Schizosaccharomyces pombe: one gene and its partner. The gene in region 1 interacts genetically with each later gene. Each region holds a gene or a part of one and is shown on either strand. Other genes may lie near its edges.

Evidence for each region.
Region 2: mutations in atl1 (region 1) and rhp7 impair growth when combined (synthetic growth defect), as found in Schizosaccharomyces pombe (one study listed by BioGRID).

What each region holds. Positions count from the first base shown.
Region 1 is NC_003424.3:5,094,950-5,098,451, forward strand, and holds atl1 (alkyltransferase-like protein Atl1), read left to right. Parts: upstream 1-1,945; 5' UTR 1,946-2,163; coding exon 2,164-2,490; 3' UTR 2,491-2,713; downstream 2,714-3,502. Other genes in the region: rpl3002 (60S ribosomal protein eL30), read right to left, coding at 262-352, 599-861; TFIIIC subunit Sfc7, read right to left, coding at 2,901-3,263; ubiquitin conjugating enzyme Ubc14, read right to left, coding at 3,238-3,456. UniProt on the Schizosaccharomyces pombe protein: Involved in DNA damage recognition. Binds DNA containing O(6)-methylguanine and larger O(6)-alkylguanine adducts.
Region 2 is NC_003421.2:103,586-108,579, reverse strand, and holds rhp7 (DNA repair protein), read right to left. Parts: upstream 2,901-4,994; coding exon 2,844-2,900; exon of another isoform or gene 2,796-2,843; coding exon 1,161-2,795; 3' UTR 732-1,160; downstream 1-731. Other genes in the region: SPOM_SPCC330.19C (uncharacterized protein), read left to right, coding at 243-262, 323-575; rhp16 (ATP-dependent helicase), read left to right, coding at 3,004-4,994. UniProt on the Schizosaccharomyces pombe protein: Involved in global genome repair (GGR) via nucleotide excision repair (NER), in conjunction with rhp16, after UV irradiation.

The DNA of each region.
Region 1 (3,502 bases):
TTACTACGGCGCTAGGAAGAGACGTTAATTAAATTACCTTGCTACAACAATCAAACGTAAATACAATGCATATATTGATGAGTTTCATTGTTACGCTAATATACAAGATAGATCAGCCTAATGCTGAATTTTTTACATTTGTTTAGATATGTCAAGCTAAAGAGTTCCTGGATTCTACCAGAAACTTGGAAATCCAATAAAAATAATCCGATTTATTTTATCTGCCATAACATTGATTTTAAAAATTTTAATAAGTTTTACCTAAGCAGCAAGAATGTCGGAATCGCCAGCATCAATAACTGCTAATACACCGACGCGAAATAATTTACCACATGCAGTTCCTAAATCAATACTTGAAAACAGTTAGTAAAACAAAATTCGACTCCCAATTAAGATCTCTGTCGAAATCAAAAAGGCTTCAAAAAGCTAGCCATTAAACAGTGTTTCTCAACATCAATTGCTATATTTTTCTTTCAAAGAAATGATGGTCATAAAATTAGCATAGTTTAAATGTAATGGTTTAAAAGTAAAAATAATTTCAAAACGCTTCTAAGTCAAAGTCGATGTTGAGGAAAACCCTTACAAGCTAGTTACTTACTTGTTTCCACTGTAGTGGTGTACAGAGCAGCGAGAAAGCATCGCATAGTATTCCAACTCGGATTTACGTAGAGGAGGGGCATTTGCGGCAATGAGGATCAATTTAGCTTTACCAGAACGAAGGGTTTTTAAAGTCGATTTGTATCCCAAAACGTATTTCCCACTTTTCATAGTCAACGCCAACTTGGAATTAATAGTATCTCCCGACTTCTTTCCCTTTTTGGAAACAGCGGCAACGGGTGCAGTGGTAGGTGCAGCAGACATTTTAAAAAAAAAACAAGGAAATAAAGAGATAAAAGGCTTAGGGTTTTCTGCCGAAAGATAGAAGTTTGTAAAGTTGTTAACTAAATGAAATTCAAAGTAATGTTTTCCAAGAAAAACAGTCACATAAATCCAAACAACAAAACTTTTAGTTTCTGTGCATTGGTGCGTAGTTCGTTAGTGTGTGGTACAATTTGCTATAATAAAATGTAAACAAAAAATGTCAAGTAATAAAAAGCAAATTTCTCAAGGTAAAGAAATCATCACTTTTCATTTTTTGTTTTATTTTAATTATTTCCTCAATAGTAAAAGATTTGTATTTTACGATATCTCGCGGATCCAATGGCTCAATAAACTATAATGCAGTTATTTCTAGCCTTTGTCCCTCTAACGATAAATTGTTCTTTGCAGTCGATGCGCTTATCCTTCAATTCATTTAGAAGTATTTATTGAAGCTAAATTGTAGTCTTGAAAATGCCTAAACTGTACGTTAAATTATTGATGGTGCAGTACGAATTGAGAGCAGCAAATAAATGGTTTTGAGTTCTTTTTTTTTTATGTAAATATGTGCCATTTGACAAAATCGTTAAGCGTTTTTTTCGGTCTTCCTAGGTCTACGGGTTCTTTGTATTAAGTTTTTTTTTTTTTTTTTTTTTTTTTTTGTTTTCCCCTACTATAAAGAATCTTGTCATACATATTTGAACAAATAATACGCGATAAGAAGGAAATAAACTTTTATTCACAATATATGAAAAACCGAGGAATAACCTGGTTAGAGGGTCTCTACATATTTCCCAATTTTTTATTTACTAAAGAAAAAATAAAATATCAAATCATAAATAATGATTTTATCCTCAATATTTAACAAATAAAAATAAAATCTTGATTGAAGAAATAAAATCCATTTCATTTTTAACTTAGCAGAATGTCCTTTAAAACATAGATTAAAAAAATATTCGCTTTAGCTTCTTTTAATTGTGAATAAAGCCCTAAAACACTCTAAAGCTTTGCAGATGATTGTTTGTATGAAAAAAAATCTCAACACTGTACCATATATCAATGCTAAACGTAAAAATATGCCAATCTTAAATCTGAACGCACTGGTTTTTTAAATCAAATATATTAGAAGTAAATTAGTCCAAAAGTTGAACAGGTGCGATTTTTTCATTAATTAATTAATTTAATTTTTTTTTTGGGACACATCGTACACGAATCTTCTTCGCTTTATACTTTATGAATTAAGAATCTCTTACTTTGTCAACTTGGTGGAGCAATTACAAAAACAGTTAGAAAAATTCATATAAAATGCGTATGGACGAATTTTATACAAAGGTCTATGACGCTGTTTGCGAGATTCCATATGGTAAAGTAAGTACTTATGGAGAAATTGCAAGGTATGTTGGCATGCCTTCATATGCCAGACAAGTAGGTCAAGCTATGAAACATTTACATCCTGAAACTCATGTTCCTTGGCATCGAGTCATCAATAGCCGTGGCACCATTTCTAAAAGAGATATCTCTGCTGGTGAACAGAGACAGAAGGATCGGTTGGAAGAAGAGGGTGTCGAAATTTACCAAACGTCTTTAGGAGAGTACAAGTTGAATTTACCAGAATACATGTGGAAGCCTTAATACGATTACTTAATTGGCAAATATCGTTGCATTTTCTATTTCTCTTGAAACGAGCAATCAACCTCCTTCTTTTGGTCAAAATGTAAATCTAATCTTTTTATCTCTAATAATGTCCTCAACATTTAACGTCTATCAACTTCGGTATAAAAATACGCTTAGAATATAATACATTTTTCCTTTTAACAACGTAATGTTCTTACGGGTTCAAGAAAGTTTCATTAGTTCATAACCATATATGTATGAAAATTTAGCGTATAAAGTTACTTAATACATTAAAAGTGATCTTTTGTCGCAACTTAATGTAAAATACCTGAAGAGATAAATACAGATGAATTTCAGAATTCAAAACAAAATGTACCATAAAACTTCAGCAACAGATTTCTTAATCTAATTTCATCACTAAGATACGCTCAATTCTCGGAGATATTTTCAGGCTCTCCTTGTGTCGGAGAATGGATTGATGATGATGGCGATGGGTTTTTAGGAACAAGTCGTATTTGCTCCAACATAAGTCGTCTTTTACAAAGAACAAGGCCATCACGAGAAAGTTCAGAATCATTCACCGAAGGAACGACAATATCTGTTCCAATCGGCTGGTGCCAGGTACCTCTGAAAAACATTCCTCCGATTCTGACAATAGGGTGCGGTTGGTCGATTCCTAAAATCGAAAAGTCATCGGAAGATTGAAAGTCCAAAGATGAATTTTGGAATTGGAATACAATATTTTCAACGTCATCAACGTCAGTTTCAAGACTTGGCGAATTGCTCGACATAATCCCTAGCAATTTTGTCAAACGAAGGGCGATCGTTTCGATATTGTTCAGCGATGGAAGCTACAAGAGGATCGTCAGGATTAGGTTCCCTAAGAAGTTGCAAAATTTGCTCCAAAACACTCCTCAGTTTGATGCTGGGTTTGAAAACTTGTTGTTTCAAAATGGCCAAACAAACGTTTCCTTCAGAGTCAAACTAAACAGGTTAGAAAATTCATAAATATATAAATAATTATGTATCT
Region 2 (4,994 bases), on another chromosome or scaffold:
TAGAGTAGTCCAGTATTGCTGACATTATCTCCGCTTTAACAATCGTCCCTTTAGCTCTGCAAAATAGATAGTATATAAGGACTAGGGCCTGCCTGGCTTAAGTGAACTCGTTTTCTGGAAGAAAGCCCATTCATTCTCTGACCATTTGCTCTATATAAATTGATATTTCACAGGTTTGAAGATAGCCTCTTTCAAGATGTATATTAATCAAGAGGAAGATAATCGCATATCTTTAATGGAGAATGGTAGTCTTGAACAAAAGGTACGTTTAATCATTCTTTTATAATAAATCAACGGCTCACTAAGTAATTCTTCTTTATAGTGAGGCTCATGACCGTAGTCGTAAACTCGAATTATTAAGCATTAGAATCAATATTTTCGGTTTACAACTCAATATTATTATTAATCTCATACCGCTTGTCTTGCTTTTTGCTTTTTTTTGCCCTTGTATATATTTTTTGCATACTTTTCTGGCGGATTGTGAGATAGCCAAATCGACTTGCATAACCAGTGTTTTCAATTGTTTGATTTTTCATATGCCCAACTTGTCGGGCGATTGGAATATTACAGTTTGAAAAGAATGTTTGCAGTTTAAAAAGGATAAATATTTATGTTTGTTTGATGAGCTTTGCGTTTCCGAGCAGCAGTAAACCTCTTTAGTCTGGCAAGCAATACCATTAGTGTACTATTCATAATCTTATGCTATATAAAATCAAGGTGATTGAAAATTACATTGCTTGATATTTGTATTACAACAAAGAGCAGCGGGATTTTTTTTTTAAAAAAAGGTAGTTAAATTGTTTGATTATGTGTAAAAATGATTCGGAGATCCATTCGTAAAGAGAGGGAATGGTAATAAAAAAATAATTCATTACCCAAAGAAATGGTTAGCTATTTGTTCGCAGACCATATCATCTAATTTGAAAATAAATAAATAAATAAAATTAAAAATAAAAAGGTTTCAAATACAAATATTCGTTAAAGAATAATATCAGAAAGACACAAAAAGAGATTGAGGCTGTTCAAGGAACTTAGTGTCCATCAAATAAGGTGATAATTTAAATAATGTACTAGTCATTAAATTTTTCAAAAGAATAATTACAGGTCCAATTCAACAACCAAAACCTTTGATAAAATTGAAAAAGAAAGTATTTCCATCCTTATTGAACTTCACGCCCTATCAGAAGTAACCGATTTGAGGGCATCAGGACATGATTATCTCCCCATACCAAAAGCTTCTCAAGCGTTGGCTTTTTGCTTTCAAAATCGCATACCAATTTGTCATTCATTCCACGAATCCAGCTGACATCAAGTGCTTTTAGCATAGGTAATGGAAAATTGACAATATACTGTAATGCTTCATCAGTCACAAACGACATTCCATTTAAATCCAGAGTGCGAAGCGTATGCCCTGAATTAACCAATACTGCACGAACAGTTTTATCTCCAAGTGACAGACACCTTCTTAAGGACAATGTTTCTAAGCCTGACTGAATCTTCCATTCACCAAAAACTATAGAGGCCTCATCATCTGTTAACAGTTCCAAACCACTTAAATTTAGATGCTTAAGACGACCACAACAAGGACCTATACCTTGTTTCAAAACTTCATCAGTTAATTTTGTACAACCAGATAAACTAAGAGTATGCAAACCGCTTCCAATTTGGTTTAGTACATCTAATATACTTCCATCATTAATGATGCCGCCTGGTGATTCAATCTTCAAACTGACAAGATTTCTACAACCAGCTAATAGACGGACGCATTCATCATCAAGATAGAAAATTCTAGAGAGATTAAGGCTAATCAAATTTGGGCAACAGTCAACTATAGCGTTGATAACCGAAACATGAATTCGGGCAGTATCCGTAAGCTCTAAACTTATAAGCTTTGAACCCCGTTTTTTAAAAAAATTTATCCATTCTGAGGAAGAAACCAAAAAGGCACCTTGAAAAGATACATCTGTTAATTCAGTCAAATGATCCGCATAAAAGTGTAAAACTTGATCCTGCATTTGACCACAATAAGTAAGATGCAAAGTTTGAAGATTTGGGCAGTATTGAGCAATTTGGAAAAGTGAATCTGCTGTAATCTTTGAGCAATCATATAGTTTTAATTCAGTTTGACCCCCACTTAAGAATAATTTCACAGTAGTATCGTTAAGAGAGCGGTTTTTTGAAATTATTTGGCTAATTTTGTCCATATTCACTTGGCCAATATCCCCAAAAGCTTCGATATCATTTATGTATTCAGCAATAACTCGTATACACAAATCCTGAAGCTTAGGAACACTGATTTCTTCGTCCATGGTAGCGGCAGCCACCTTTTTACGGGTCAATGCTTTTCTTTTTCTCGTCCTTAATTCAGGTACCGATCGATCTTCAGCACCACGACTACAAGGATAACATAGCCACCCTTTCTCTGAATTGCTGTATTTGCTGTATGGGGTTATTGTAAAGCGACAATTACAGTGTGCGCAAAAATCTAGTTTGCCCGTATGCTCCCTTGCTTTATAAGAAAACCCAGCTCTTGAATTCATTGAAAAAGTGTCCTCGTTGTCTTCAGCTTCTTCATCCGTTTTCTTCTTCTTTTTTTGATTTCGTAGATTTCGTCGTTTCACTACTGGTATCTCAATTGTCGTTGTCGACATCGAGTTTTCATCTTCGTTGTTTTCTTCAACAGAAGTCGGTGTTTGAATAACTTCTGATTCTGTCCCAGTCGATTGCCCTGCTGACTCCTCGCTTTGACGAGGAGGACGAGCACGTCCTAATGCTGAAGCATTGATACCTTGAGACTGAATAATGCATTAGTAACTCCGAGCTAAGAAAGAGTCATCACATACTCTTAAAAATTCTGTTAAAGCAGAATTTGGCCCTCTCACCCGACTTCCACTTGACATTTTAAAGAAATCCTTAGTATGCTGAGGATAAGGTGGAAGTGTGGTTGAGTTTAATTAAATCGCTTCAGATCGCGTGGCAACTTGTCTCATACCAACCACTACTATGCATATATCTACTCTAAAAGTGGACCAATTACAAAATGAAGCTGTAGATATTAATTCAAACGATACAATTGATTCCATAAATTGGAAAAATACTCGCAATAACCATACTACTCAGGCGTCTCTTCAAGCAGACAATAATGATGAGCAAAGTAATGGGCAGGCTCCATTTTCTACTACTTATTCAGAGATAAATAACATTCATGATGTACCAGGCAATCAAGATGAATGGTCATCTTCTCCCATTGCGGGCATTATTGTAGAAAGTGAAGATGAGGAAGTGGTTGAAAACAATTTACATTCACAAATGGGGACGTCATGTAATAAAATAAACTCGAATAGTAATAAGGGAAAAGAAAATATGCATTTTGTTCTAGATGATAATGGTGATTCAAAGGGGAATGCTTCAAATCAACAAGTCGAGCGTGACGACAAGTTAGATATGGAGACAACGCGCTGGAACGGAAAAGAGTTTGAAGAACCTCTGTCAACAAACAAAAAATTGATTATCCAGTCAAACAACACCTCATCTCAACATTCGACACCCCCATTATCCATTTCTGATACCAGTACACACACCGGTAGCAGCACAGACAATGTAGAAGCAAATCCCAATACAGGTTTTTCTAGTGCCAGAAAACGTTCATTAAGGTCCTCGAATTTGAAAAAAAAGTTTGTGCCATTGTCATCTCCAGAAGAATCTAATGAATCCGAATTTATTGATGATGATGAAAGTGATGAAGTTGCTAGCATAATTGATATCAAAGAGGATGAAACTTTTGATAGTAAAGTAGAAATTCCAGAAGCTGCTCCAAGTTCTTCTACGGAAAGTGATGAAGAGTCAATCCCTTTAAGTTACCAGTCCAAACGAAGGAGGGTATCCGCTAGGGCTTCTTCTTCCGCGTCCTCTTCCTCTAGAACACAAGCAAAATCAATTCCATCACATGAAAGAACCCATTATCGTCTGATTCGACAACATCCTGAACTAGAACATGTTTGGGAGAAATTGGAAGAAGAAGCACCTCGTGAAGTGAAACAGATCGAGCAACCCAAAGAGTTGGTCCTAAACCTTCTCCCTTTTCAACGAGAAGGTGTATATTGGTTAAAACGACAAGAAGATTCCTCTTTTGGTGGAGGAATCTTGGCCGATGAAATGGGTATGGGTAAGACTATTCAAACAATTGCGTTGTTGCTTTCAGAACCTCGAGGTAAGCCAACCTTGGTTGTTGCTCCGGTTGTAGCAATTATGCAATGGAAAGAAGAGATTGATACACATACCAATAAAGCACTGAGTACATATCTTTATTATGGCCAGGCTCGTGATATTTCAGGAGAAGAGCTTTCGAGCTATGATGTTGTACTAACGAGTTACAATGTAATTGAATCAGTTTACAGGAAGGAACGCAGCGGATTCAGAAGGAAAAACGGTGTTGTAAAAGAAAAGTCATTACTTCATCAAATGGAGTTTTACCGAATTATACTTGATGAGGCCCATGGTATCAAATCAAGGACTTGTAACACTGCCAGAGCTGTTTGTGGCTTAAGAACGACAAGAAAGATATGTCTTTCAGGAACACCTTTGCAAAACCGTATTGGAGAATTATTTTCACTTCTTCGGTTCCTACGGGCAGATCCTTTTGCTTACTACTATTGCTTGCAATGTGAATGTAAATCTCTGCACTGGAGATTTTCCGATAGAAGTAATTGCGACGAATGCGGCCATAAACCAATGAGTCATACTTGCTATTTTAACGCTGAAATGCTAAAACCAATACAAAAGTTTGGATACGAAGGTCCAGGAAAGCTAGCTTTTAAAAAGGTGCATTCTTTATTAAAACACATTATGTTACGTCGAACAAAATTAGAGAGGGCTGATGACCTTGGATTACCTCCTCGAGTCGTTGAAGTGAGGAAAGATTTATTCAACGAAGAAGAGGAAGATGTATACCAATCTTTATATATGGATTCAAAAAGAAAATTTAATACATATCT